Linked DNA regions of Mus musculus: all the other regions are reported to be linked to region 5. The links are microRNA targets in miRTarBase. Many come from high-throughput screens and were not tested one by one. Region 5 holds a microRNA gene; each other region holds the end of a gene's coding sequence.

Evidence for each region. Region 5 holds the annotated microRNA mmu-miR-150-5p (UCUCCCAACCCUUGUACCAGUG, at 1,513-1,534, opposite strand). A microRNA usually pairs through its seed, bases 2 to 8, with sites in the 3' UTR of a target mRNA and lowers its output. Matches are read on the target gene's strand: a 7mer-m8 pairs with bases 2 to 8, a 7mer-A1 pairs with bases 2 to 7 and ends in A, and an 8mer does both.
Region 1: the mRNA of Cycs is a reported target of mmu-miR-150-5p. Seed matches in the 3' UTR shown: 7mer-m8 at 1,758-1,764.
Region 2: the mRNA of Mpp7 is a reported target of mmu-miR-150-5p. Seed matches in the 3' UTR shown: 7mer-m8 at 2,022-2,028.
Region 3: the mRNA of Usp45 is a reported target of mmu-miR-150-5p. Seed matches in the 3' UTR shown: 7mer-m8 at 1,038-1,044 and 7mer-m8 at 3,040-3,046.
Region 4: miRTarBase lists Slc25a39 as a target of mmu-miR-150-5p. Seed matches in the 3' UTR shown: 7mer-m8 at 805-811.
Region 6: the mRNA of Ripk2 is a reported target of mmu-miR-150-5p. Seed matches in the 3' UTR shown: 7mer-m8 at 3,358-3,364.
Region 7: the mRNA of Tprkb is a reported target of mmu-miR-150-5p. Seed matches in the 3' UTR shown: 7mer-m8 at 3,284-3,290.

Annotation. Positions count from the first base shown.
Region 1 is chr6:50,561,867-50,566,030 of GRCm38, forward strand. It overlaps Cycs (cytochrome c, somatic), which reads right to left. Exons shown (of 3, transcript NM_007808.5): 2 at 3,626-3,802; 3 at 697-3,519. The coding sequence starts at 3,794. The coding sequence ends at 3,371. Among named protein-coding and RNA genes, the nearest start is that of Cycs, 2.6 kb to the right of the region's middle.
Region 2 is chr18:7,347,335-7,351,532 of GRCm38, reverse strand. It overlaps Mpp7 (membrane protein, palmitoylated 7 (MAGUK p55 subfamily member 7)), which reads left to right. Exons shown (of 17, transcript NM_001081287.2): 17 at 389-3,571. The coding sequence ends at 568. Among named protein-coding and RNA genes, the nearest start is that of Gm34979, 2.7 kb to the right of the region's middle.
Region 3 is chr4:21,833,522-21,837,684 of GRCm38, forward strand. Usp45 (ubiquitin specific petidase 45) reads left to right here. Exons shown (of 18, transcript NM_152825.2): 18 at 714-4,163. The coding sequence ends at 844. Among named protein-coding and RNA genes, the nearest start is that of Pnisr, 12 kb to the right of the region's middle.
Region 4 is chr11:102,399,663-102,403,860 of GRCm38, reverse strand. It overlaps Slc25a39 (solute carrier family 25, member 39), which reads left to right. Exons shown (of 12, transcript NM_026542.3): 10 at 1-70; 11 at 148-228; 12 at 326-892. The coding sequence ends at 441. It overlaps Rundc3a (RUN domain containing 3A), which reads right to left. Exons shown (of 11, transcript NM_016759.5): 7 at 4,081-4,198; 8 at 3,816-3,973; 9 at 3,063-3,200; 10 at 2,861-2,967; 11 at 1,306-1,880. The coding sequence ends at 1,738. Among named protein-coding and RNA genes, the nearest start is that of Mir6930, 3.2 kb to the left of the region's middle.
Region 5 is chr7:45,119,098-45,123,295 of GRCm38, reverse strand. Mir150 (microRNA 150) reads right to left here and starts at 1,539; the gene lies at 1,475-1,539. It overlaps Rps11 (ribosomal protein S11), which reads left to right. Exons shown (of 5, transcript NM_013725.4): 3 at 58-133; 4 at 338-467; 5 at 738-908. The coding sequence ends at 861. It overlaps Snord35b (small nucleolar RNA, C/D box 35B), which reads left to right and starts at 185; the gene lies at 185-271.
Region 6 is chr4:16,120,179-16,124,376 of GRCm38, forward strand. It overlaps Ripk2 (receptor (TNFRSF)-interacting serine-threonine kinase 2), which reads right to left. Exons shown (of 11, transcript NM_138952.4): 11 at 2,563-3,713. The coding sequence ends at 3,376. Among named protein-coding and RNA genes, the nearest start is that of Ripk2, 41 kb to the right of the region's middle.
Region 7 is chr6:85,928,028-85,932,211 of GRCm38, reverse strand. Tprkb (Tp53rk binding protein) reads right to left here. Exons shown (of 6, transcript NM_176842.3): 6 at 1,928-3,436. The coding sequence ends at 3,350. Among named protein-coding and RNA genes, the nearest start is that of Tprkb, 14 kb to the right of the region's middle.

The DNA.
Region 1 (4,164 bases), not on the chromosome of region 5:
CCAACCATCTGTAATGGGATCTGATGCCCTCTTCTGGTGTGTGTCTGAAGACAGCTGCAGTGTACTCATAAATAAAAAATAAATCTTAAAAAAAAAAAAAAACCCAAAAAACAAAATTCTAACAATTGAAGTCAGCCTACTTCTAAGAACTCAGTGCCATTACACATTGGTCATGTGTCGTCCTTATGAATGATAAGCTGTATGCTATATTGATAAGACAGGAGAGTGCCAATGAGCCACTGTGTTAATTCTCTGAGAATACAGGTATATAGTAAACCTAAGTTTTCTGTGAGTAAGAGTTTAGGACAGTTTTTCAAGCACAGTAGATTCCCAAACAAAATAATGTAGAACCCAATTATTAATTCTAAACTTAATACTTGATGTTTTACTAAACTAACGAATGCAGCCAAGGGTCAGTGTGTACTTCAGTAATGCTTCAACGCTTCATCAGGAAACAGGAGTTCTGGGTGTACTCACATGCTAGTAAGCATGAGTTCACCTGGATGATTTACGCAGCTCTCATCCAGGGCCTATTCTTTGGCTTTCAAAATATTTTAACAATAGGAAGCTGGAAGAGATATCCCTAGAAATGAATTGGTTTCAGCTTACTTCTGAATTTGACTAACATGATGTCATCTAAGACTATGTAGCTGTAAAAAGTCTGTTAAGGACCGTTTTCCTGGACAGCGAGTGTGTACTCCGACATGTCCTTTATTTAGCAATCTTCAGTGGTTAAAATGAATATGTAAGTGTAACGGAAGACAGATGGTGCCCCTGCCCACCTAAAAAAGACAACTTAAACTCAACAGATGAAGCATGGTAAAATCAAAGGGATTGTCTAAATCAGTGTTCAGAAAGGCATCAGAATTTTATGTGCATTAATTCTAGATTCTCAGAAGGCAAGTGCTTAAACTGGCTGGTACTAGTTCTAGGTCAATGCCATAAATACAGCAGCCATTAGCTACTTCATCAACCCACATGTACTTCATGGGTTTGAAAGCCACACCAGGGTAATGGACAAGTATGTCTAAAAGATCCATTACAGGAAGGACTATGGGGTAGAGCTTTTCTAAGCATTCTGAATGCAGGTGGAACTGAGAAGAAATTCATCTGATTTTCCTTTATGGTATCACTGAACTAGCCACCTACAAAGCAACTAAGAGCAAGCAGATCAGCTAGAGTGGTCCCACTTCCTGACTTGTAAAATCAGTGTACAGAGACTGTCCCCTTTCTGCATCTCACAGGTTTACCTTCTCCATCACTGGGTATCTTACTTGAGTCTAGCCTTAGAACACAGGAGGTTCCATCTGTGTAACACAGGCCTTAGATGATGTATTAGGTATAGATACAGAAATAACAACTCTAAGTTTGGTCATCAGTAGGGACCCTTTACTTGGGCTCCCAGAAAAGGTTGCCTGTCAGGAAATAAGTCATCATGGCTTCACCACTTCTGGGTTACAGAATCTGAGTTTATAAACTATAGGACTCACACAACCTGCTGCACTAACGAGGCCCCTTTGAATTTATATTGAAAGCCCAATGTTATAAAATCTTAAGCCAAATGTCTATATATTCATCTCAACGGCTTATTATGACTTTTTTTTTCTATCATTTCCAGAATATAAGAAAACAAGTCCAGGGCTTTATTTTTATTTTTTGTTTTTTTGAGACAGGGTTTCTCTGTGTAGCCCAGGCTGTCCTGGAACTCACTCTATAGACCAGGCTGGCCTTGAACTCAGAAATCCACCTGCCTCTGCCTCCCAAGTGCTGGGATTAAAGGTGTATGCCAACACCACCCGGCAATTCCAGGGCTTTATTTCTTTACACATTAGTTAAAATGTGCCCTGGAAAGTTGTTACAAAAACTTGGGACTCATCAAGTGTTATTACAAAGCTATCTCTGAAGGACCTACAAAGTAAAAAGCTTATCAGGGCTGGAGAGGACTCAAGAGCACTGGCTGTTCTTCCAGAGGACTCAGCCTGGACTGCGCCCACTGCAGATCCCGCTGTAACACCAGTCCCAAGGAATCCAACACCCTGGGTTGGCCTTCAAGTGTAGTGCACAGATATACATGCAGAGAAAACACCCATACATACAAAATAGGTCCAAAACAACAAAAAAAAAATTCCTACCCATCAGCCCAAAACTCCAAATTACAGAAAACTTTCCAAACTTGTTTCCAGATTGTCCTCAATTTCTTGTATAAAGTAAGATTTGTCACAAAGTGCTGCCTCTGACCTGAGGCCCAGTTAATCATCTTCTACACGTCTGAAGTCACGATGAGGTCTTTCTCCAGCCTTTTCACCCCCACAAAGACACCACTATCACTCATTTCCCTGCCATTCTCTATAAAATTTAGGACCACTCAGCTAATACATAATTATTCACCTTTATAGATCTCATTCTGGCCAAAGAACGAAGGGTAAAGCGTGGCTGTAGTCGGAGTTGCCCGAGATATCAAGGTAAGAGCACCTAGTACCTTCACTAGACCATGGCTTTATACCAGGGAACATTTAAACAACTAAAGATATGTTAACTGTCATTAAACAAAGCACAATCAAAGGATCACGATCTGTGGTTGTTTTAATTATCTTCTTTCTGCTGATACAAACTATTTCCTTTATTTCCATCTTTCCATCTAGTAAGTTAGCAAAGAGTGCCATTCCTAATCGAATTCCAGTTATGTGTGTTTCTGAGTGGGTATTTAAGGACAATTCTGATTTACAACTTAGTCTTAGAAAATAGAGAATTTAAAAGGCCTAACTTGCTTGTTTCTAAAAGCATTTTAATTTGCAGATCAACTATAAAGAAGTGTTAAATACTCTTTATTTGATATCATACATAAACCACAGTAAATGCCTTTCAATAGTAAAAGGCAACATCCTTGATGTAGGGAATTCTAATTAAAACTGCACTGTCAAGAATAGACAGTTGCCTCCTGGTGGTTAGCCATGACCTGAAAGAGGCCAGTGAACACAAACTGAAACACATTTGAGTCTTCTTGTTTCTGAGACAGTGATAGAATTTTCCCAGTGTTTAAGCATATTCATATGCCCAGTTATATAAATCTAAGTATAAAACCATTTAGTAGGTTTGAGGTGACATGCCCCTATTTATGGAAAGTAAAACATTGCTAATTAAGTCCAATCTTATCTTGAGAAAGGGAGAGCCGTGGTAGCATGTATACAACTGGAACTGTTGCTTTAATAAAGACCGTACCCACTTTATGACAAGTCAGTTTTACTTAAATCAGGACTGTCCAACAAAAACATTGCTAGCCATTCATGATCTGAATTTGGTGTGTGAATTAAATTATGGTGTACATTAAAAGCCATGAGACATTTGTTTTGTAATAAATAAGGCAGTGGAATTACTCATTAGTAGCCTTTTTAAGATAAGCTATTAGGTCTGCCCTTTCTCCCTTCTTCTTAATTCCAGCGAAGATCATTTTTGTTCCAGGGATGTACTTTTTGGGATTCTCCAAATACTCCATCAGGGTATCCTCTCCCCAGGTGATGCCTAAACAGAAAGAGATGCAGAGGTTAAGTGTTTTACACACCTGGTAATTCTGCACTGGTTAACCCAAGCAACCTGTGCTGTGGCTGACAGCAGCTCCCCCCGTTACCTTTGTTCTTGTTGGCATCTGTGTAAGAGAATCCAGCAGCCTGGCCTGTCTTCCGCCCGAACAGACCGTGGAGATTTGGTCCAGTCTTATGCTTGCCTCCCTTTTCCACAGTGTGGCACTGGGCACACTTCTGAACAAAAATCTTCTTGCCTTTTTCAACATCACCCATTTTTAATTCTAAAAGGGAAAAGATCCAACAGTAAAACGTACTACGGATCCCAATGACCATTCAAACCGCTATTCTTATGTCCTCTTAACACCAGGCAGGGTGCTAACTCAGTCCACTTGCAATATTCTTCAATAGCAAATACATCACCTAGGAGACTCTCCTTTAAAGCAAGTCTGTGCTCAAGACAGGTCCATGCCAAGGGAAATGGAAACCCACAGCTCAAACCCCAGTTTCCGAAGAAGGCAAGGTCAAAAAGTCACAAATATGAAACCGGACTCATTAAAGCAAAACCACTACAACTCTTAACATTTCAGAATGCTAAACTGCTGTCAGTGCTGCCGATTAAAGTCACTTCCAAAGATAAGGGAGG
Region 2 (4,198 bases), not on the chromosome of region 5:
CACTTCTACTGGACCACAGGAGGGGCATTTGAATTATTTTCCTGTAATGCTTCCAACACTAAGGAAGTAGTTTGTGTTATACTTTATTTCTTGTGACCAAACATAAATAGCCAAGCCAGAGCATCAGAGTAAACAGCACCCCTGCTATCCATGACAACAGCAATGTGTCCATGCAATCGTGAGTTAGTTATGACCCTGAAGGGAGTTCAGCTAAAGCTGATGTTAGCAGTAAAAACCTCTAAAAAGGTAGTGAAGGTGATTTTGTTTCTTTATTTTGTTTAAAGTTTGAACACATAACAGCTTTAGGTAGTCATTGTAGAATGTTTACATTTATGTGAAATAATGCAGTTGTCTGGTTACTTAATTTGTTATTACTTGTTTTTAATAGGAAGAAGACTTTCAGGAAATGATTAAATCAGCACAGATAATGGAAAGTCAATATGGCCATCTTTTTGACAAAATCATAATCAATGATGATCTTACTGTGGCATTTAATGAGCTAAAAACAACATTTGACAAACTAGAGACTGATACCCATTGGGTCCCAGTGAGTTGGTTACATTCATAACTCAGAGAAATGTCCTTAATTGTCTTTTTACAGAGTTGCATGGTTAGATCAACTACCATGGTTTTGGTAGGATTTTTTTTTTAATAATTAGTATCACTGTCACAGATGTAAAGTCTTCAATGTCAAAGTCAAAATTTCAGTGCTGGTTTGTTTATGTCTTTCACAGCCTTATTTGAAGCACATAAGTGTACAATCTAAGTCAAAATCTGCACAATGCTATAGTCTTAGCAAAACTTGTATTTACTGGTTTTCTTTAATCTGTTTCTTTGTGAGAGGCAGTAGGTATCAAAGTTCATGCCTCACTTGGGCTCAGGTGTGCTCACAGCCCTTCACTGGGCATGCTTACAGTTGAAAGCATGGGCTTGGCAGCCTTGAGCAAATCCACAGATTTAACTGAGCTGGAAATAAGACTCTCCTTTAAAAAATATGTTCTTCATGTGCACATCTTTAAAACAAAGAAGAAACTCAAATCTTTTCTTGAGGAAGTAACTCACATATTATAGCTTAGGAAATCCTTATGAGTACATATTAGTGATGCCACCAATATTATATAAGAAAAATCTAATTCTCCTGTTTAAGATGAGAGTCTCACTATGTTGTCAACACTAGCCTTGAACTCAGCCTTTGTTTGCCTCAGCCTCCTGAGTACGGGAACATGCCGCTGCATCAGGCTTAAAAACGACTTAACTGATACTACAGATGTAGATACAAACTTTTCCTCATGGTTTAGTAAAAATGGCTCTGTCTTAGGGCAAGAAATGATTACACAGCACCACTTGCTTTAATCTATCATTCTTCAGAAGACATTTCTGGAGTCAGAAAGTTTTCTTCTCTTGCTTTGGAATTTCTCAACAAATTATAACAATGAGATAAGTATTCAAAAACATGTAACACGTGTTAGAGCACAGTGAAGGAAGAGGTGCTCATGTTTCTGGTGTGCAATCACCACACATGTAAATTGTCCTAAAGTGTGTTTTAGAAACCTTATATTGTGTTAAATTTTTGTCAACAAAATGATTAACACCAGCCAGATTGCATTTCAACCTATTCCAAAGGAAGGTGGGTTTTTAAATGTTTCAATGACATTGTTCCTTTTTCTATAATGCCTTAGGTCTCTAGCAAGTGAATGATTTGCAATACTACAAATATCCATAGTTCAATCTTAGAGCAGGTTCCTGCCAGTACTCTGAGCAGTACAGATTAGTCAATGGAAGATTCATCACATCTATGACTTGCATACAAAAAATTATTCTTGTTGCTTTGTAAAGAGTTTAAATATTATGTTTAAAGAAAAAATAAAATGTAGGGAAATTTTATATATTTGTGAGATATTTGAAAGGCATGTTTTTAAATTATCAAATGAGGCTATTCATAAGATAAATTGTATGTAAAGATATAATTTAAAATAGTTTTATGGGCCGGGCGTGGTGGCACACGCCTTTAATCCCAGCACTTGGGAGGCAGAGACAGGTGGATTTCTGAGTTCGAGGCCAGCCTGGTCTACAGAATGAGTTCCAGGACAGCCAGAGCTACACAGAGAAACCCTGTCTCGAAAAAAACAAAAACAAAAACAAATAAACAAATATATATATATATATATATATAGTTTTATAAGCAAGATCAACATTCCATGTAAATATTGGACCTTTTGGCAGATAGGTCCACACACATATTACATGTTCACTGCTGTTTGGTGGTGTCCGTGGCTAGCTTTCCTTAAGACAATGTCAAATTTCTGTGTGAAGCAGAAACAAAAACTTTTCTAGTGACCTCATTACATGTTCAAGCCCAACAGTCAGATGATTGGACTAATGAACACAGTTCATGGAAGTTCTGTGCTTATTAATTAAAGCCATGCAGCTCAAACACAGAGAGAAAGGCTACTGAATTTCTACTCTGATATCACTGCTTTGTGTGGACTGTCTAGAAGCACAAGTCTTAAAAAGTTGGTTTGGATGGAATGTCCTGTCCCTTGCTCGATGTGTACACTTCTCTAAAGGAACTTTCTAGACCAAGAATGGTGAGAAGTGTGTCCAGCATAGGACATTCTGAAATAGTTTAGGTATCCCATGTTCATACCTCAGGTATCTTTGCTGATTGTTTTTCTTCATCTGGTGACTGCTCTCTTCAGTTTTTATTTTGGGTTAGTGCTTGGGAAATTTGGGGTAGGTAGTGAAGGTGATGGAATGTCATGAAAATATAAATGTCTGCACCTGTTAGACCACAGCTGAGCATCTTTCTTTAAAAAATAAATAAACAGAAATAAAGCAGTTTAAGAAATCAGGTGGCATGTAGCCTTACCTGTTCTATTTCTTGATGCTTATAAAGAGATTTAATTTAAACATAAAAGCCAGGCCAAGATACCAACAGCATTTGGCCTTGCTGTGCTCTCTGACCTCAGCACTCCCACCACCAAGGAGAAAAATACTTTGCTCCTAGCTTTCAGCAGCTTGTTTCTGGGGTGCAGTGCCAGCCACTATTAGAAAAGCAGGGTTTCATTGTTTATCCATTTAAAGTTGAACCTGGTATGAGGTGCTTTTTTTCTCCTCTATCTCCCAGGTAGAATGGCCTAAAAGTAAAGAGATAAACTTGAAACAATAACCATGGCTTTACTGAGTAATGTGGAAACTTGGCATCTATAAGGCTGACATTCCTGGTACTATATAATCATCAAGTGTACCTAAACTGTAGTAATTTAAAGTGAGCAAACATGTAAACTCAGATTTACAAAACTATGGAATCAAAAATGTCCCTGAAGATTCAGATTTTCATTTATTTCCCTGTGGCCTATGATGGATTTATAGATAAATGTAATGGAAAGTTTTTTATTTTAATAAAGTATCTTCAAACAATATATCTGCTTGAAAGTTGTTTAGCACTTGAATATGCTATAATTGTTCTACCCTGTGCTGCTTTTTCCGTGGTGGAACAAATTCCATCCTTTGGTATTATATAATTTATTTGATCTTTCCATGCCTAAAATTAAACATTATATTTCTCTTCAAATAATGCTTTCAAGATTATTGGACAAACGAAATTCACTGCTCTTTGTCTCTTAGTAGAAGGTGGGGATGTGCAGAAGCAGAATGGGATGGAGAGTCCAGGCCAGTGTGTTGGCAACACCCATTCTCATCTTCTATTCATTTCCCCTGCTGGCAGACCCAGTTCCATAAGAACTTATCATCTGGGCCTAGGAAGACAAACTGTATTCTTTGGGGAGACTAATCAACACTGACTGGCTCCATCGTTGTGTCAGCACGGTCCTGCTCCAATAGAGAGACTATATGATACAGCAAGGTTAATCAATCAAGAGAGTCATCAATTGATCTTTGTGGGGCTGAGAGTCATGCTAGGCATACGTATGCATTGTGTCCCCAGTCCTGAATCTAAACTTCTTGTTTGATTTCCAGTTTTGAGTATTACCAGCTTTGAGACCTTGGGGCGGGGGTGGGGGGTTGTAAATGGAATGTCTCTGGTCATCCTGTCATACCAGGATGATGCACTTAGAGAGAGGCCAGGGCGGAATCATTCAGTGATGGTGAAACTTGATGGTGTTGGTGGTGATGATGATGCTTGTCATATCACAGTTAAAACTAGGTCAAAATTATTTACCTCTCTGTGTAGTAAACT
Region 3 (4,163 bases), not on the chromosome of region 5:
AAAAAAAAGAAAAAAAAAGAAATTTTTAATTTAAATAAAGCCATCGTTGAGCCAGGAAAAAAAAAAAAAAAAGAACAGTATGTGGTCTTAACTGATGAGCCATCTCTTTTACCTCCCCTTTATTAGTTGTGGTGTTGTTAGGTTGTTGTTTTATTTTGACATAGGAGCTCACTATGTAGCTCTGTCTAACTTGAAACTTACTATATAGATTAGGCTGGCCAAAAAATCACAAAAACTACCTGCTTTTACCTCCCTTATGTTAGGATTAAAGGTGTGTACCACCATGTCCATCTCTGTTATTAGCTTTTAACATATATTTATTATTTGTGTGTGTGTTGTATGTATGTGTGCCTATGTTTGGCTGTCAGAGAACAATCTCATGTACTCAGTTCTCTCCTTCCACCTCTGTGTGGGCTCTGGGGATGGAGCTGCTGCCCAGGCTAGCACAGCAAGCCCCTTTCCTCCCTGCACCATCTCACCAGTTTCTCCACCTTCTTTTTTGGTGAAAATGAATATTTCTCTGGGAAACTAATTATTATAAGGCTAATATTTCACTAGATTTTTAAGTTAAAAATTTATTAACTGGAAGTAGTTATCAATCTTAGATCTTATAGATCTTAGAATTAAATACAGCTCATAATAACTGTGTCAGTGTTTACAATTTAGAAGACATAAACACACTAACTGTAAAATTGTACTTTCTGTTCTGCTAGGTTTGAAAGAACCTGATGGTGAATTGGGAGGCCACTGGGTCCATGTCAGCGACACCTATGTGCAGGTGGTTCCAGAGTCAAGAGCCCTGAGTGCACAAGCTTATCTTCTTTTTTATGAAAGAATATTATAATATCTGTTCATTGTTATTTAGTTCATTTTTATTTTAATGCTGAAGTCGTAACCATAATATGTAATGTGCCTTCTTAGTCTTTAGGAATAGTGCATCCTTCCAGCGTTATTTAACTCTTTCAACATGTGGTGAATCCTTTAAAAAAAAATTAATTAATTTGACAGGCAGTTGTGCATGCCTTTAATTCCAGCACTTGGGAGGCAGAGGCAGACAGATCTCTGTTTGAGGCCAACTAGGGCTATTCAATAAAACCTTGTCTTGAAATATTAAACAAAAAGTTAATTAATGCTTTCAAATCTATATTCTTTTTTTTTCTTTTTTTTTGCTTTTGTGAGACAGGGTTTCTCTGTGTAGCCCTGGCTGTCCTGGAACTCACTTTGTATCACTTTGTAGACCAGGCTGGCCTCGAACTCAGAAATCCACCTACCTCTGCCTCCCAAGTGCTGGCATTAAAGGCGTGCGCCACCACTGCCTGGCTCAAATCTATATTTTTAAATGTAAAAACATGTTTTATGTTAATTTTCATGTCCATGGAAATTGCCCCTACACACACACACACAGAGTTGATAGTAAAGCAACCCCCTCTATGATATGACTCATCCTTACATGCATTCAAAGATGATGCTAAATTGGATCTTTAGTATACTATTTCCTAATGTAATACAACCTTCCTGAGTGGATCCAATATATCTTATGCTACAATTTGCTTACTTTTTGTTGAAGCCTTTTTTAAGCTTGGCTGTTTTGAATCATACTTCACATTTTTATGTGCTAGTTATTTTTCTAGTAAACATTGATGTGAGTTTATAACTATGAAAGGAAAATCATACATCCTTGCACCACCCCACTTTAAATCATCTCAGGGCTCTGCAGTGGTGTGTGTGTTAGTCTATAGGAAAAGTTTCTAGAACAGTCTGAACTAGTGCCTAATGTAACATAATTAATTTTTCATATTTTATGTGAGTCAGTAGTATAAAAAGGAGCCATTGTAATTTTGGTAGTGTGAGTTTACAAGTAATGAATTGATTCGCTTATTGCTTTGAATATTTGAAGGTATTGAAACATTTCATAAACTAATCATTTGCAGTCTTTGAAAGATAATTTACAACACATAAAACTGGTAAATAGAAGTTATAGTCTATATAGGAATATAGAATACTTTAAAGTTTAAGGATATCTTTGAACTGTAAACCACCAAATTATATTTATAAATGGTAGAGATCATATTCTTATAACCAACAATGAATATATAATACTTTTTTACTTCTATACATTAATACATGTTAAGCATAGTTTTGTCTTCATAAGCATTTATTTAAAACTTCAGGTGGATAGTTAGGGTTGTAGTTCAATGGCAAAGCACTTGCCTGGTTCCATCCCTAGCAAAACAAAGAAAATATTCAGGTGGGCTTGGCTACTTTCATGGGACACAGACTTGCCACTTCTGTTCCCCTTAAATAAGCAGTAACACAGAATAGTTTCTTCTAGCATTCAAAGGATTGAACTGTGAAAACTTAGCATGAAAAATATTACTACCAAGATTTTCAATAATCAATGAAGTGGCTCACTGATACATAGTATTGAATCAAGATGTAAGGGAACAGGTTCAATGTCTTAGTCATCAGTGCCTGTGTTTGATTCTATGGGCAAATGTGAGGGAGAGAGGCTGTAAACTGTCCAGACCTTTAGCCAGGATGGAACCTTCTTAACATGTGTAACATAAAGTCCCCAGTGTTGCCTCTTGATATGTGGCTGGGTGAAACTGATTGTCTAATGGAGACATTTTAAGATTGTGGAGAAATTTTCAATGGTATTTGAATTTTTTTAATTGAAGGTGAAGAAATATATTTTATCTGTAGAGCCCAGTTGTGTCCTCTAAAAAGAACTTTCCAGTGTCTTCTGTTTCATCAGACATTCAGTGTTATTAATCTATTGACACGGAAGAGTCTAGCACCAGAGCAATGAATGAGAAAAATAATTTATTTGTTCAAGCTAGCCTGTCATAGCAGTTGCACCCACACCCCCAAACAAATGCAAGCGGTCAGCCTTTTTCCCCCCTCTCTCCTGGAAAAGATACTATTAAGACATGTACAATCTAAGCAGGTTCCAATACCGGGCATATGATAGTATTTTATGAGCCTTTAAAACAGAAAAACCTGCTGAGTGATGGTGGCCCATGCCTTTAGATTCAGCACTTGGGAGGCAGAGGCAGGTGGATTTGAGTTCAAGGACACCCTGGTCCACAGAGCAGGTTCCAGGAAAGCCAAGACAACACAGAGAAACCTTGCCTGAAAAACCTTGGGGAAAAAAAAAACACCCTAAAATCTATATGATTTTATACATTATTCTAGTAGTGATGTACAAATAAAATGTTCATTTATTACCTAGTTCTGAGGAGATTCTGGAATGTATTTTTTTTTAATGACCTAAAGTTTGAGTGTTTTTCTTGTCACCTGAAAATGTAGGAAAATGGTTTGATTTGATATCTAGGAATTTCTTATCAAGCTTATGTAATATAGAAAAATCACCCAGATCTACACTTAAATTTTTGTTCTTACTTTGAAGTTTTCCAAAGCACATTTGTAGAAATTTTAAATTGTGAGGCCACTGTACTAACAGATTACCTCAGGAAACCGTGCAAACAAACAAGAATGTTTACAGATCCGCACAACTAGTCAGTGCTTTGGCACCGTGAATTTGAAAGGTAAAAGAGAGAAGTTTTTATCTAGAAACTGGTTTACAGGGTACCTCTAGCCCCAGTTCTCCCCTGACTTTCCCATATTTAAAATAATAAAATTCTGATGATGTGCCAATTATGTGAATGCTTGTGACATAAACAAATATACATCTGTATTTAAGATTTGTTGTTTAATGTTTTAAAAAATAATATGAAGACTGCTTATGTAGGTGGTCAAGGGGATGATCATATATCAACAGAGCTATTTTACCATAGTTCTTAGCTTGCATGTGTGATTAATTAGTGATTTTTATGTAATACTTGAATAAGATATCCTGAAGATATGAAATGTCTTCGTGAAATGTAGCTGTGAAATGTCACCGCACATCAAATTTTTATAGTACAAAATAACATCCTGCCTACTTTCATGAACTTTATACTCAGCTTATTTTTCTGCATGACATCTGGTCATATAAACCTAAACCAAATATGTGCGATAAAATCAAGCTTTCAGCTAGCATCCATTGCAGTATTAGAGAAATGATTTCTGCATTAAAATGTTTTTGTTCATGCAGAAATCATCAATTGAAATGTGTTTAAAAGATGATTATTTTTAGGTATCAGTAATACATTCATGGTATC
Region 4 (4,198 bases), not on the chromosome of region 5:
CTTACCCTACCCTTCGATGTGGTGAAGACACAGCGACAGATGTCACTGGGAGCGGTGGAGGCTGTGAGAGGTAAGCTGGGCTGGTGAGGGGAGAGGGCAGGCAGGGGCCTGAGCTGAGCCCTACTGAGCCGGGCCTTGCATCTGCAGTGAAGCCGCCCAGAGTGGACTCCACCTGGCTCCTGCTTCGCAGAATCCGGGCTGAATCTGGCACCAGGGGACTCTTTGCAGGTCTGTCTCTGTGAATGCACTGCATATATGATACATATCCATGCTGTGTGTGTGAGGGGACCTGGACCCCTCACTGTGGTCTGTCTTTCCATCACAGGCTTCCTCCCCAGGATCATCAAGGCTGCACCCTCCTGTGCCATCATGATCAGCACTTACGAGTTTGGCAAAAGCTTCTTCCAGAGGCTCAACCAGGAGCAGCCTCTGGGCCGCTGAAAGTCGGGGAGCAACCGGCTCTTGCACGGGTGGGATCAGGAGACTGAGCCAAGTGCCTTCCCTCCCAGTCCAGTCACCCAGGCTGTCCTCAGACCTGGATTCCTGCTGTTTCCCTTCCCAGGATTGCCCCTCTCCCGCCTCCCGAATTCAAGACCAAATCTGATGATCGCCCTTTTTTGTATCCCCATGTTTGTTATAGCTTGGCCCGAGGAGCTTGGGCCAGGCAGTATCTTGGCCCCATTCATTCCTTGTCTAAAGATGATGGTCTTCTGTGCACAGCTGTGGCTGTAGTGTCTTGGGGTACGTGTGCACGTTTGGGGGTCCCCAGTCAGACACAGTGGCCCACACCTGTTATTCCTTCACTTGGGAGGCTGAGGCAGGAGGAGTGCCTCCAATACCAAGCCAGCCAGGACTACACAGCCAAATTCTATCTTCACAAAAAAAAAAAAAACCAACAGCAACAAAAAGCTGGCATCTACAGGTATGGTGGCCCCGAGAGTTCATGGCGAGCAGATCTGAAGCCTGCCTGGCCTACATACTGAGCTCCAGGCCATCCAGAGACCTTGTCTTAAAAGCTTCCCACCTTAGGGGGTACCCAGACAGATCTGGGTGAAAGGTGCCTGTCTGGTAGGTAGTAAGGGCCTTTCATGTGGGGCCCACTGTGTTGGGGTGAGAGCAAGTCTTAGAAGGGTCAGATCCAGAAAGCACCTGCAGATGTACAGAATCCGGAGCCCCCTCCCACTCAGCCCACACCCTGAATGATGGCCCCATGTGGTCCCCCAGGGCACATCCTCCTGGCATGTGTACCTTGGTTAACAGACCTGTTAGGGAGCCCTTACCCCACTCTCCAACAGATGAAACCACTTCAGTCCTCTGGTTTTTATTTGCCTAATCTCTCCCCACATAGGTACCAAGGAAGGGTGACTTCAGAGGGTACACAGGGTTAGACCAGAGGCAGGGCAGCAGGAATGCCAGGGCTGGACCACCTGCTCCTGAGGCAGGTGTGGAAGAAATCAGAAGGAACCAGGCAGCCTTCAGAGCCACCAGAATGGAGCGCTGTCCCCAGGGGACTGAGGATCTGTAATCTGGGTGTCCCTCGTGGCCCCACCACTTCCCATGCAGCTCCTGCCTCCTTGGCAGGAAGCTGAAGCAGGAAAGAGGCTTGGGTCATCTTTCCCTAGAGACCCGAGGCTAGGTTGGTGGTGTTCTTGAAGGGTGGCCTGGGTTGGGGGACTCATAAGGTGGCAGTTGTCCATGGCCCCTGGCAGGTGGGGCTGGTGTTGCCCTTGGTGCTCCTCAGCTGGGGCTGAGCGCCGGGCTGCCCTCAGGGCTGTCGCTCACCAGGCATTCGTTGGATTTGAAGCTTGCCAGGGACTTGCAGCTGGGGATGGAGGCCAGGGAGCCGCAGAGGCCCAGCATGGAGGGCGTGGGGTCCTTCCCTAGGGAGAGAGGGCGGGTAAGGCCGGGCCAACCAGCCTGTGTTGTATGTGGGGAGGAGGTCCTCGTGGGTGGGCAGAAGGGGGGCAGTTCTCCAGTCACCCCCAGGGGACGTGGCCTCTTCTGGAGCATCTGTCATTTTTAATTAAACCTTGATTGAACATTCCTTGCACAGGGCTTGAGACACTGTGTCATAAACCATCAGTTTATGTCTCTGTCTCCCCAAGGTTCAGCCTTTCTTTGTCCATTTATTAAGCACACAGTGAGCATTTGCTCTATTTCACACTCTGGGGATACAGAGAATGGACAAGACATGGTCCCTGCCCTCACGGAGCTCACAGTCTGGTGGGGAGACACACACAGTCACAAACACAGTGTGGTGAGTTACATGTCCAAAGCCTGCCTCGTCTCAAAGTCGAGTTATCCAATACAATATAATATATATCTATGTATTTAAAAAAAAAAAAGGCAGGAGGTCCAGGCATAGGGGAAGAAACTAGGAAGGGAGTAACCAAGGAGGGGTCAACACAAAATGCATGCGTTGAAGTCCTGGGCATTCGCTCAGAGGGAGCCACTAATTTGGTTCTGAGCTTCCTGGCAGCCAAAGAAAGGGGAAAACATTGGTCAGGCAAGCCGTTCACAGTGTGTGTGTGGGCAGAGCCAGCAACATGTGTCTAGTGTCATGACACTAGAAAGCCGTTGCGCCCTCTCCATACGTGCACTCTGGAGGCTCTTTACCAACATCCCTATTTTACAGATGGGAATCTGAGTCAGCCAAGTGCAGAGATTGACCTCGTTTACAGGTAGAAGAGGTGGGGCCCGAATTTGCACTTTTGTTTTGAAACCTCAAGCCAAGCTCCTTATTGGTGTATAAGTACAGGAAGAGTTGAGAGAATAAGGGGTTCAGCCACGGCCTGACTACAGGGGCCCTATCCCTTTTCTGAAGTGCCAAGGTGGGTGAGTGTGTGTGGGGTGTGCTCACCGATGGGGCCCCAGGGTTCCTCGTCCCTCTTGGCCTCTCCCAGGCGCTGGGAGTCTGAGCTCAGGCTGGCCTCTGCAGACAGCGGCTCCGTGCTCATGAAGCTGTGTCTACAGCAGAACAGAAAAGTGCAGGGAGTGACCCGCAGCTCCAGGCCCCACTTCCTGGGACTGGGGTATGGGGACAGCACTTGGTTGAGGCTTACCTCCGATATAGCTTGGAGTTGCTGGCACCCTCGGGCCTATGAAGTGTGCTCAGGGAGGGCCACTGGTTGACTAGGGATGTGGTGAGCTCCTTGGAACCCTGGGCCAGGGGGGCATGGTCACCGGGGATCAGACCTGTCCTGGGAGGGGGAGGGGGATCAGGCCTGGCTGGGAGAGGGAAGCGAGACTCAGCAAAGGTAGGGGCAGGGCTTAGGACGGAAACTTGAGTGGTAAAAATGGGGATCTGTGCTGCTCAGGGAGGATGGCCCAAGTCTGGAATTATGGCACTAGGATCTAAGGCCATGTTTGTGGTGGCCAGGATTAGTGCACTCATGATGGAGTTTTTAGAAGTCAGTTGGGGTGATGTAGGGAGGAGAATGGAAAGGGTGGGTACTCTTGAAGGGGTGGGATTCGTGTTAGCTAGCTGGGTCAGGTTCAGGGAGGAAATGTTCCAGATTGGGGGTGGGGGTGTGTGTGTGATGCCTATCAGAGGCCTTAATAATGGGGGTGGCACACGATAAAACTGAAGGCTGCTAAAGTCGTGTGAGGAATGGCTGGTGTCTCTAGCTGATGGGTATTGGAAGCTGCGGGGGATCTTAATGTGGGGGGCAGGTAATGTTTGGCAACCTCCACGGGATCTTGGGAAAGGGGATGGGATGGGTAGGCTGATGCGAATTGGGTGTCATCAGAAAAGCGATCCCAGCCAATGGAGTCATGTTGGGGTTCCCAGGGGTCAGGGCGGGAGGCGGGCTCACAGCTGCTCCTGCAGCTCCAGGATCACGCCTTCCAGCTCCCGCTTCTCACGCTGATTTTGTGCCGCGGCCTCCTCCAGCTGCAGCTGCAGCCGCCGGTTCTCCGCCTCCAAGTCCTTCAGCTGCGACTCGCGCAGCCGCACCAGCTCCTCCAGGTATCCCTGCGGGGCGCCGGCTCAGCCCGGACGCCCAAAGGGGTCCCAGCTGGAGTCCCAGCCCCAGGCCCTGCCCCCACCGCGCCCAGCTCCCCGCGCCTCGCCCCGCGCACCTTCTGTGCGTAGACAATGCGAAACTTCTGTTCCATCTTGTGCCACTTGTTGTACCAACTGTCTTCATCGGTGACGAGAGGCAGGTAGGGGTGCTCTGGTGAGTTGTCCTCGCTGGTG
Region 5 (4,198 bases):
CATCCTTGGTTCTGTTTAGGAAGTGGTAATCTAAACCCCACTTTCTTAACTTTGCAGGCTATTGAGGGTACCTACATAGACAAGAAATGCCCCTTCACTGGTAACGTCTCCATCCGAGGTCGGATCCTGTCTGGTGAGTGGGATGTTGGAAGGGTGGTTCTAGGTTCCTGCGTCCAGGGGCGCTGGCAAGTGATGTCTGTTCTCACGATGGTCTTCAGATGTCCTCTAGGGCACTGCTGAGACAGCCAGTTGACAAAGCTGATGCCATAAATGGAGCTTCTTGGGAGCCCCGTTCAACTGACTCCTACCTGCTAACACCTTTCTGTTACTCTCCCAGGTGTCGTGACGAAGATGAAGATGCAGAGGACCATTGTCATCCGCCGGGACTATCTCCATTACATCCGAAAGTACAATCGCTTTGAGAAGCGTCACAAGAACATGTCTGTGCACCTGTCCCCCTGTTTCAGGTGACTCTGGTAGCTTGGGATAATGACTCTAGACAAGACAGTCACTGGCTAGGCTGGAGGTGTCCCATGGGCAGAGCAGTGTGGGGTCCAGGAGTGTGTAGACTGCTGTGTGAACGTCTGGGAACTAGAAGTTGTAGTTTGTTAGTCTTAGCAACTGCGTAGATGGTGACTGGTTGGGTGGAGCAAGGGTGGCCCCCACCCCTTTGGCCTGTCTGGATGAAGGAATTGCTGGGGAGGCCCCTCCTGAAGACTCCTTGTCTGACCCCACAGGGATGTACAGATCGGAGACATTGTCACAGTTGGAGAGTGCAGGCCCCTGAGCAAGACTGTGCGATTCAATGTGCTCAAGGTCACCAAGGCTGCTGGCACCAAGAAGCAGTTTCAGAAGTTCTAAGGGGACTCTGGCCAATGCCCTAGAACAAATAAAGTTATTTTCCAACGTACAGAACAGGCTTGGAGTCTCATGTGTCCTGGGACAGAGCAAAGATTGCCAGGGCTTTCCTGAGCTGGAGGTATCTGCTGCATTTATGAGCCTCTAAATCTTGGTAACCAAGTAGAACACCCAGGGTCAGCTACCTGGTGCAGGCAGCCCCTGCTCTGCCTGCCTCTCAGGAGGAAGTAAGGGTGGAGCCTCTGACCTTAGTTTAGGTCTGAGCTCTTCAGTGTCCCTGGGAACCACCTGGGTCTCTGGTCTTCCCATACTCACCTTGCAGGTGAAGACACCTAGGAAGGGGCAAGTTCTCCAACTTGAGTATCATGATCTGCTTGAACCCCTGTAGCCACTGCCTCCCCTCTGGCTTATGTCCAGGGACAGGGCCAACAAGGACAGGAACCCTTCAGCAGTGAGATGAGAAGAAGGCCCCAGGTTGTCCAGGATGGATGTTGGAGTGATGGGAACACCCACTTAGGAAGGGACCCAAGGCATCCCCTGTATGTAGGCCAAACCTGGGGAAAAGTCCCTTGGCTGGAGGGAGAAGCTGGAGTTGTTGCTGCTGGGGTTCCCAAGTCCCTATCCCCCAGGCCTGTACCAGGGTCTGAGGCACAGCACTGGTACAAGGGTTGGGAGACAGGGCATTGAGAAGAGTCCTCTGCCTGCAAGAGATGCTGCGGAAAGCACTGCTTCACCACGGCCTTCTGCATTTAACCAGGCTGCTGAGGGAGGGGGTTCCTGTCAAAGGAAGTGGGCCTGCATCAAAGCGAGCAGGAAGGGGCAGGGACAGGTCAGGAGGGGCACCGCCCAAGCTGGGTGCCTGCCAGCCACCCAGGAGTAGAGCCACTAAGCAGAGGAGGGGCGAGCCCCAGAGCTACAGGGGACAGGGACCCTGAGGAATCTAAAGCCAATTGTTGAGAGGTGTGGCCCCCTCCAGCCGCAGGTGCTTCCGTTCCGGGTGGGGCTGTGTTTACAACAGCCCAGCTCCCCTGTTTCCTCTCAGGGGTGCTTGGGGCTTCACCTTTCAAAGTTGCAGAGTCTGTGAGGGAGGGGACACCTGAGAGAAGAGAGACCCCTGACGACCCCTCAGCAGTTTAGTCATCTGCAGAGTGGAGGTTGTCTTCTTAGGCCTTTGCACAAATGAAGAACACTGCCTGAGAGCCTAGCACTTCCCCTACTGCACTCTGGTTTGTCAAACCCCAGTGCCAGCCACGCCTGGCACCTCTCCCGGTGGAAATGTCTTCCAGGCATCATGGTTTTATATGACTTTTACAGAGTCTTGCTGTGTGTCCCTAGATGGTCTGGAGCTCTGTGTAGACCAGGTTAGCCTCAGATTGACCACACTCTCCTCACCTCTTGGCTCCTGGGTGCTGAGATTCCAGGTGACACACAGCCCATTTGGGCCTTTAGTCTCAGGCACCAGTTTTCACTTAGTAACTAATATCCAGTTCCAATCACATGTAGACGTTGGTGATAATCCAGCTGCCAGGGGGGCTGAGCTGAGGCAGGAGGATTGTCAGAAGTCAGAGACTAGTTTGGGCAACACAGACCTTGTCTTAGACTAAAGACCTAGGGATGTGGCTCAAAGGTGTAGTGCCTTCCTAGAATCAGACAGCGAGGGGCTGGGGTTGTAGCTCCATGGTGGAGGGCTTTTCTAACAAGTACAAGGTCCTGCGACCATCCGCAGCACCTCAGGGACACAAAGGGCATGCAGTTGCAATCCAGCACTTGACAGGTAGACACTTGAGGATCAGCAGTTTAAGGGCACAAGAGACCTGTTTCAAACGAAGCCTGGTATGGTGATACCCATCTTTGGGGTTTTTGGTTGTTTGTTTTGCAAGACAGGGTTTCTCTGTGTAACACCCCTGACTGTCCTGGACTTGCTTTTTAGACCAGGCTAGTCTCAAAACTGTGCCCACTAAATGCTGGGTTTAAAGGTGTGTGTCACCACACCCAGCAGTGGTACACGTCTTTGATCCCAGAACTCAAGAGGCAGGCAGATCTCAGAGTTTGAAGTCAGGCTGTCTGCATAGTGATAACCTCTTCCAAAAATGAAAATACTAATGTGAGTGAGTGTGTGTGTGCCTGCCACAGACCCCCATGTAGAGGTCAAAGGATTCAGTTCTCTCCATCATGTGGGTTCCACAAGTCAAACAGACCATGATGCTTTGTCTTAAATACCTCTACCTACTGAACCAGCTCACTAGCCCACACTTCCTCCTTGAGTCTCCTGTCAAACTTACATCCTGCCTGTTGGCTGCAAAGGCTGTATATATCTGCACAGCCAGTCCCTGGAAGTGGGAACTGTGAGGAGGTGCCCCAGGATCCAGGTGTTCTGAGACAGGCTCAGCACTGACCAGCCTCACTGCTCACTCAGCCATAGACCTTGAGTCTCCTCATCTGTAAATGGTGGCCACGCTAGCAGCTAGCTGTGCAGGTAGGTCACTCTATGGCCCCAGGAGAATGACCTTTGGCAGGTAGCTGCAGAGGTTATGTATGGTTATGGGACCTGTGTCTTCTAGAGCAAGCTTGATGAAGTCATTTAAGTATGCTTCTAGAAGATTCTGTAGCGAATCATGCCTGGTGAGAAGACCAGAGAGGAGCCATTGGCTCTGGGCGGGTGAGGCTTCTCAGCAGGGTCTTGGGTGTTTGTTTTGGAGTCAGGGTTCTGTGTAGCTCTGGCTGTTGTGGAACTTGCTTTGTAGAACTGGCTGGCCTCAAACTCACAAAGAACTTCCTGCTTCTCCCTCCCAAATGCTGGGATCAAAAATGTGCATCAGCACCACCCAGGACAGGGTCCTGGTTTAGTGACAGCAGACTTTGGCCCACCAACTGCAGACAGGGCAGGCAGGCCTGGCCCTGCTAACTGTGGCTTGGTCTGGCTGTGTGTGGAACTTTCTTTGGGTGGGGAAGGCAGAATGGTCAGGCAGCATTGCTGCTCCTCCTTTTTGGGTTCTTTGTGTTATGTCTTGTTTTGAGACACTTGCTGTCTCACTCTGTTGCTGAGACTACCCAAGAATTCACTGTTTAGCCCAAGCTAGCCTCAAATCCATAGCTATCCTGCCAGAGCCTCCAAAGTGGTGGGATTGCAGGTGAGTGTGCTACCCTGGCTCCCGGTGGGCTGTGATAATGGGAGAGCCTGTTGACAGTGTGTGTGCACAACCCAGGGTTTGTTCTGAGACAGGGTCTCCTCATAGCCCTGGCTGACTTGCAACTCACCAAGTAGAACAGAATGGCCTTGAACTCGGAGAGATCCACTTGCTGAGATTAAAGGCATGTGCCACCATACCTGGCTGGGTTT
Region 6 (4,198 bases), not on the chromosome of region 5:
GACCTTTTCACCTTTCTACTACGTCTATTCACCTTCCCTCATCTTCATAGAACTCTTTCTCATGTTTATGTCTATTTATTTTATTTAATATCTCACCAATATTAACCAGAGCCATTTGTGTGACTGTGGGTTTGGAGCTGTCCATCACAGCCAAGTATGCTCAACTGGGGGAAAACAGCCACTTCCTAGAATTTATTGATGGCCAGTAGTGGAGAGGGAAAGGCAGGACCCATGAGCACTCTGTACTCCTTGACTCATTGTTGATAGAGCTACTTGTATAGCTCAGGGACCTACAGTTGATGTGTTACTAATTAAAATGGATATACCCAGTTTAGGGAATGAAGCTCTGTATCCCTTTTCCTATAGTCTAGCTCCTACATATTTCTTTAGTCCCTGTTTTAAAATGTTTCCAAAGCCTTAGAGAGCATGGTAAAAGTGACTTGTTTAAGGCTGGGCTTGTCTTGGGTTGTATTGTTTAGTTTAGTTTACTTAATTCAGATAGCTGTCTCATTACATGTAATTTAAGAACATTCAAGTAAGAACCCAAATAAAACCAGATGTTAATTTGTCTTTAAACATTATAGCCAGTGATACTACATTTGTCTATAATCTCTCCAATATAAAACCACATCCACACCTTGGTGGCCACCAACTGTGAGGGTTTGAAGTTCCCTGTTTTAGCACTTTGGACTTCCTTTTTTTACTCTCTGACTATCTGGAGGGAGCTCAATAGGGATTACAAGGGAACCAAGCTCAACCTTGGCATAGTGTGGCCAATAGAGGCTTCCAGTAAGTGTTCAAAATTAAGAAGGCATGCAATTTGCACAAAATTAAGCCTTTCTCCTTTCCTTAATGAGAAGGTTCAAAACAAAACAAAAACTATTATTATGTAGCTCAAATGATACAATGTTCTGAATCTCTGTTCTACATAAAAATAATTCTACTTATTATTGTCTGTATTTGCATACATCTTGGGAAGCAGGACTTAAAGCGAGCATCTTGCCCTGTTCTGCAGCTTTCATTTCACTATTCACTAGAGTTATTTAGAAAGTGCCCACTCTATGCCAGGCCTTGTTGTGTGCTGACTGGTCATACTTAGCACAGGGTGTCACTTCCCTCAAAACAAGGACATGCAAACATTCAGTATAGGTCACAGTGAAAATTGTCCGCTGAAACCAGTAATACCACTAAAGGAGGACAGCTTATTGAAGATTCATCTTAATTGTTAACACCATAGGGATTTGCTTTATTTTGGGGGGGGGGGCACCATGTTCCAAGACAGAGTTTTTCTGTAGCCCTGGCTGTCCTGGAAATCACTCTGTAAACCAGGTTGACCTTAAAACTCAAGAGATCTGCCTGCCTCTACCTTCCTAATATTAGGATCAAAAGCATGTGCCACAACTGCCCGGTGATACCATCTTCTTATTGTTCAGTGTGTTCTATTCATGTAGAAAGTTGTGGGGCTGTGACGATGGGTGACTATACATAGGTATTCCTTACAGTAAGTCACAGGAGAACAACGGGTGGGTTATAAGCATGTAACCAAGACAGTGGGTCACACATTATGAATTGTACACTTTGCAGCAAAAGGGAAGAGCAGAGAAAACTTCATGTATCAATCTACATATATCATACACAATCAGTATAGAAAAGAGGAGGGAGTGAAGGGGAGAGGGAAGGAGAGAGAGACAGAGACAGACAGAGACTAAAAGAGAGTAATTAAAAAACCCTTCCTTTTTTTTTTTTTTTAATTCCCAAGTTCAATCTTTTTGTTGTTTGTCTATTGGAGACCTGTCCCCAATAGCCCAGGCTTGCTTTGAGCTTGTTAAGTAGCTAAGGATGTTTCTAACTCTTGATCTGATGCTTCCATTTCCAAAGTTCTGGGATAACAGGTGTGCCACCACACCCGAATTTTTATTTCATACTTTTAAAAGAATTTAATCACAACTAATAAGTTTAATTGATTTTTCTTTTTTTCCTTTTAAATTTCTGTTTCTGAAAGTCCCATAAGAGTCACATCAAAAGTTAATGTCATTTTAAAATTGCATTTAAATTCTTTAAACATCTTCCCATATAGATTCATATATATACATATGTATATATATATATATATATGTATATATACATATATATATATGAATGATTGTTTTGCCTGCATGTAAGTGCACTGTACACCTGCCTGGTGGTCTTAGAGACCAGAAGAGAGTCTAGTTTCCCTGGAACTGGGGTTATTGCTGGTTGTGAGGCATCATGTGGGTGCTAGGAGCAGACCCTGGTCCTCTCCCTGAGCAGCCAGCTCTTAAATGCTGTGCTCAGACATCTCTCCAGTCCTGCTGTTTACATTCTTATTTCAAATTAAGGAATATTTCATTGTCTCCATATGATCTAAGTCCTAATTCAGATTGTTTTAGGTTATGAGTCTGGTGCGTCTTGCAAGTTTGAGTTTTCAAATTCATTCTGTTTCTCACTTTCTTCTAACTGTTAAACAGTTTTCAGAAAAAGGTATCACTTTGTATAGTTTCCCTTTACTGACATACGCTAATTACCAGAAGATAAAAAGAATGCACACTGTATTGCCTTTTTATTGTTTCTCGTCAAGTTGATAAGAGCAATCTTGGAAAATCAAACACAGAGAGGCGTGGCCGACATGCGGTGATTGAACGGAGTTAGCTGTGTGGAGGAGTGTACCTGCCTTCAGTTCAAAAACCATGGTGTTTTACAAAGAAAATAGCTAAGTAAAGGTCGGCTTCTACCCAACCCGCATATGCTTAAAACAGGAGCCGGAAGCAGGCTGCAGCAGGATGCACAATGGGCTGCTCGCTCTGGAGACAGACAGGAGGCAAAAGTTAAGCAGAGGTCCACGGCTGGCCAGTGTTAATTTTTTCTCCCCCGCTTCTTTATATACTCTACATTCCTTGAGACCACCTGCTAAAGAATTTGTAAGTCAAACTTAAAACCGAGTAACTCTTTGGAGATCTGAACTTGGGATTGGCAAATGGGGAGCCTGAATCACTGCTATGTAAAGTCAAACTGCACTCTAGACGAATAATGAGGAATCCGCAGAGAAGGTGAGTGTGAAAGTGTCTTCCATCAGAAACAAAGGCCACTTTAAGGCACTGTTACATACTAGAAAAATGTAATTATCACATAAAAAGTTCAAGTAGTGAAACTGACGTAAAAACTGAACTACACAGCATAAAGCAAACTTTTTACTTATATTAATTTAAAAAAATACTGCAACGTCATGGGAAGAGACTCTTCCATCAACCTTCAGTGAAGCGTCTAATACTCTCATGTTTTCTATACAAATATTATACAGGTAACAGAAATATAAATAACCATTTGTAAACTGACTTCCTCCCAAAGAAGGCCCCCTTACAAGCTTTTATTCTGAGGGAAATTTGAAGGCGGTGCTTTGGAAAGCACAGGTACTTCTGGGTAAGGCTGCAGCCCCAGCTGCTTGTTATCTTTCAACTTCTGCACTACAACTTTGGCAAACTCTTCTCCTTGGATGTCAGACGTATCTAGCAGCTGTCTGACTTTTGAGGTCCTTGTAGGTTTGGTGCTAATGAGTTCATAGTCCTCCTTCATGATCAGGTCACGAGACAGAAGGGCGTCCAGCGATTGGTTAAGGCAGGCTTCAGTCATCTGGCTCACAATGGCTTCCCTCTTACTCTGGATCCACTGTTGGGCTATACCAATTGGTGGGCGCTCTGCAGCAAAGCAATGCATGAGAATTACCAAGCTGAGGATACGTAGAGGCAATGAGTGTAATTCTGTGTGAATGTGAGTAAGCAGAACTCTCATTCCCGTATGACTGCGGGTGTGAAGAGTATTATTTGAAAGTGCTTCTATTATCCAGGAACTATCAAGAGACTTGAGTTTTAGCTCCCCATTCACCTTCCAGAAAGAGTATTATATTTTTATATGCTATGTTGTAGGGCAAAATGACTTGAATTTTTGTTTAGTTTCAAATATAAAGGATACCTGCCGATGTGATAAATGAAAACAGTTTCGCCTTTACTAACACTGAAAGTAACGCTGCTTCTTCCCACTTCCTTCTAGGTCAGACATTCCTGGAATGCATTTGGTCAGCACTGAGTCTGGAAATGCTCTCCTACTTAAACAAATACTTACTGAAGTATGGAATGAACACTAAGAAAACATACTATATGGTGAATCCATGCACTGCGTACTT
Region 7 (4,184 bases), not on the chromosome of region 5:
AGACTTGGAGACAAACATAGATTGTGCTTACAAGATCTGAAGGGTCACAGACCAGAGCTGGGTGTAGAACTGAGAAGAGAACCAGCAGAGGTAGTTTTTGTCATGGCAGAGGAGTAGGAAATCGGTGAGACTAAAGTAAGGACTGATTCTATGGGGAAGATGACTCATGATGCCCAGTCTTGTAGAGCTGTTCTTGTGGGCTCACAGGCCAGCATCACCTTAAGTAGGCCTGACATACAGCTCTGCATTTCTAAAAGGACATGGGGATGGAAGCACCCTACAGCTGGCACTCCTGGAATTCAGGCTGTGCCAGGAGCCATAATGGGTCAAGCTAATATCTAGCAGGTGATTGTCCTGAGATGGCCTGCTTTGGATTATTATATAATCTGTGACAGGTTTGCCCTTATTAAGCAAGGCTGTAAGGGATTTGTTTTAGGAAAGATTCCTGCTATTAGTATGTTTTTCCTAATATGTTATTATTCAACATATATATCACTAAGTAATAGCACACCCCTTTGGAGCAGATCTCTGCAGATCCATGAAGATGTACTGTCTTGTAGTGATGCTACATAGACAAATACGTGACTTGTCTTAATGATGATCCTATTAGAATCCTTAAAATTATATCTGTGATTATTAAGGTTTTTTATAGTGGGACTGCTAGCAGGATGAAAGTTAGAGCTGAGCAGCTCCTGCTGAGATAGTACAAAGGCTTAATCCTTTGCTGTTTGAGGAAGATGTGCTAAGTGCCAGAAACTGTAGTTTCTGGCTTCAGAGGATCATAGAAGGCAGGTCAGCTACAGTAGCATAGTAACTTTGACTTAGATAAGTAAACTTTTTATTATTATACAGCAACCCTCAATATCTTGTAAGACAAAGTCTTACCCTCCACCGATGCCCTTCCCCCTCTGCTGCCTCAAGAAGAGCTGACAAGAAAGAGCACCCCCACTGGAGTTGGCCCCAGCAAGGCTGAATCTAGTCCGAGTTCAAAGGCTCAGGAACTCCAGAAATTCAGGTGCTTTGTGCGTGATTGGGTCATCTTGCAAACCTCTGACACAAGGCTGGGATGGGATATGGTGCTGTGCATATATATATATGCAAGGCTGTCCCTCCTTCTCAGTTAGTTCCTCTGTAAAATGGGATACTATTAGAGATGTGGGGTATTTTGCTCTCTCCCACCCTAGGCTAGAGACTACTGATCACAGAGATCCAGGCACCCCTAAGTCAGTAATTTGTGACACTTGGGAATTACTGGGAGTCCTGTTTCATTCTGGCATCACCTCTGATACAGCTTAACTCCAGAGGGGTCAGTCAAGCCAAACCTTGCCACTGACCAATTCCAACTACACAGAGACCCCTTGCTCTGCCACTCTTAACACAGGTGACTTGGTTACTAGGACTATATCCCTCACCCTTTCTTGCCATGTGGCTCTCCTTGACCCTGGCTGGCTTTGATGGTCACCGTAATATGTTTCTGTCTGTCATCACCAAGGTCAGCCTTCTCTGGCTTCTGTGAGATCTTCTCCACACTAAGCCCAGCAGTATCCATCCTAGAAATCTGCATCCCTTGAGCTAACATCCCAGCTGCACACTCAATGTGGGGTCCCTGTAACAGTCCATATGAGGCAGGGACACTGAGAACTTGCACACACACACAAACACACACACACACACACACACACACACACACACACACACACACACACACAATAGTGAGAAGAGGCATCAAGATTTCTTTCATTTTGGACAATCTTGGGCAAGTGTGCAAGAGTCACTTATTCTTTGTTCTGTATCATCCTCTGCCTCACCTCCATGGAGCAGGCTTGTCTGAACATTCAAGAGGTGTGACTCAGAAAGGAATTTGGGGTGTGGGGTATGTCTTAGTTAGGGTTTGACTGCTGCAAACAGACATAATAACCAAGGCAACTCTTATAAGAACAACATTTAATCGGGCTGGCTTACAGGTTCAGAGGTTCAGTCTGTTATCATCAAGACAGGAGCATGGCAGTGTCCAGGCAGGCATGGTGCAGGAGGATCTGAGAGTTCTACATCTTCATCTGAAGGCCGCTAAGAGAAAACTGGCTCCCACACGGCTAGAAGGAGGGAGGGTCTCTTAAAGCCCATGCCCACAATGACACATTTCTGCCAAGGTCTTACCAACTCCAAAAAGGCCTCATCTCTAAATAGTGCCACTCCCTGGGCCAAACATATTCAAACCACCATAAGGTACCCAGAGAACAACCCCAGAACTGCACTATGAGAGCACCTGGCTTTGCAGACTTGGCGCTTTAGAGGGGACTGGAGGGGCAGAACTGACTGTGCTTGTGGGAAGAACAAGGGGTCACCATTTTTGAACTTGTGTGAATGAAAAGAGGTGAGCAATACCTGCCACTTCCATGTGGATGCTTTTAGGTTTCTCTGCCCTCCCCAGAGCTTCTGACAAGCTGCACAGTAACCTAGAAGCCCAGGCTGAGAAGCCCCCGCAGAGGGCTCTAAAGCCCTGCTGTGGGTTTCCCTCTGATCCCTTCTGCCTTCAAGATAACAAAATGTTTCCTTCTGCTGTACTAAGCCAGTGAGCTTTAGGGTTTGACTGTCACTATGTCCTAGCCAACTCTGGAGTCTACAGTCTCAACTCCAGGGCTGCCCACTGCTTGTTCAAGTCAAGGCTCACTGGACAGAGGCCACTCACTCTGTACCTGTCCTCTGTGGCTGCTTTCAGACTGCAAAGGTCATATTGAGTAATTGTAGCAGGAACCAGATGAGGCGGCCTTTGAGGAGCAAAGTACTTATCTGGCTCTTCACAGAGCTTTGCTAACCCTTGACCAAGCCTATCTTGATGGATACAATCCAATACAAGATAAAGTGAGGGGGAAAAGGAACCATCAAACATGGTTTTATACTAGTTACATGACCCTGGGCTAGTCAGTTAATACTGCTATACTCTTTTAGCTGCCTCTTGTATAAAGTGGGCACAAAGACATATCTACCTAAAAAGCAGCTAAGAGAGTTAAATGAATTGCTATTTATTGAGATAGGATTTGACATAGTACTTTAGGCTGATCTGGAATTTGTGGCATATCCCAAGCTGACCTCAAACTTGCAGCTTTCTCCTGCCTCAGCCTCCTGAGCAGTGGACTGTAATGAGTCACCACACCTGGCTTAGAGTTAATTTTTTTTTTTTTTTGGTTTTTCGAGACAGGGTTTCTCCGTGTAGCCCTGGCTGTCCTGGAACTCACTCTGTAGACCAGGCTGGCCTCAAACTCAGAAATCCGCCTGCCTCTGCCTCCCAAGTGCTGGGATTAAAGGCATGCATCACCACGCCCGGCTTTCTGTTGACATTTTAAACATCTTATAAAACATCCTTCGTTGACATTCTACAAATGATAGCATCCAATAACGTCCCAATCCTCTCTTCTTGTGATGACAGTTTATATATCTGTAAAAGTGAATGACACTCTATGAATGCTGTGTCCACGTGCTACTATTACATAAACAAGTATATGTGGTTTATCATTTCACTACGGCATTAATGATTTGAAATCACAAATACATTTAAAATATTCAAAGTTGTTGGCAATTTGTCATTAATGTCAAATATTCTTTTGAAGTGTAGTTATTAATATTAAAAAACCCAAGTTGCCTGAACATATAAATCATATTTATATCAATTTTAAGAGTCCAAATCTAGCAATTAACTTCATAAAGTCATTTAATATTGAAAGAGATCCTTTTTCTTAGTTTTCATTATGCATTTGAGTTTTCATTTATAAATACTTTCCAAGAATTTGTAAAATGATGTTACTATTTCTAAAGCTTTTTAAATTTTTACTGGTATGGGTGTTTTGCCTGTAGTATGTATACTACATGTGTGCAGTTCCCATGACGGCCAGAAGAAGACATTGGATTCCCGGGAAGTGGAGGCAGAGATGGCTATGAGCCTGCCAGGAATCAGCCCCTGCCCGGCACTTGGGGAGGACAGCAAGTGCTCTCAACTGATGAGTCATCTTCCAGCCCTGCACTAGTACTTAAAAGTTCAAAAGGTATTGAGAATAAGAGAGGAGGCAGATATGAAAAAGAGCAGTAACAGGATTTGTATAAATGTAATGAGTCCCAGTATTTGTATGCTAACTAAAATGTTAATCATTCAAAATTTATACAACCACAGTGATGAGCAAGCAGTGTCA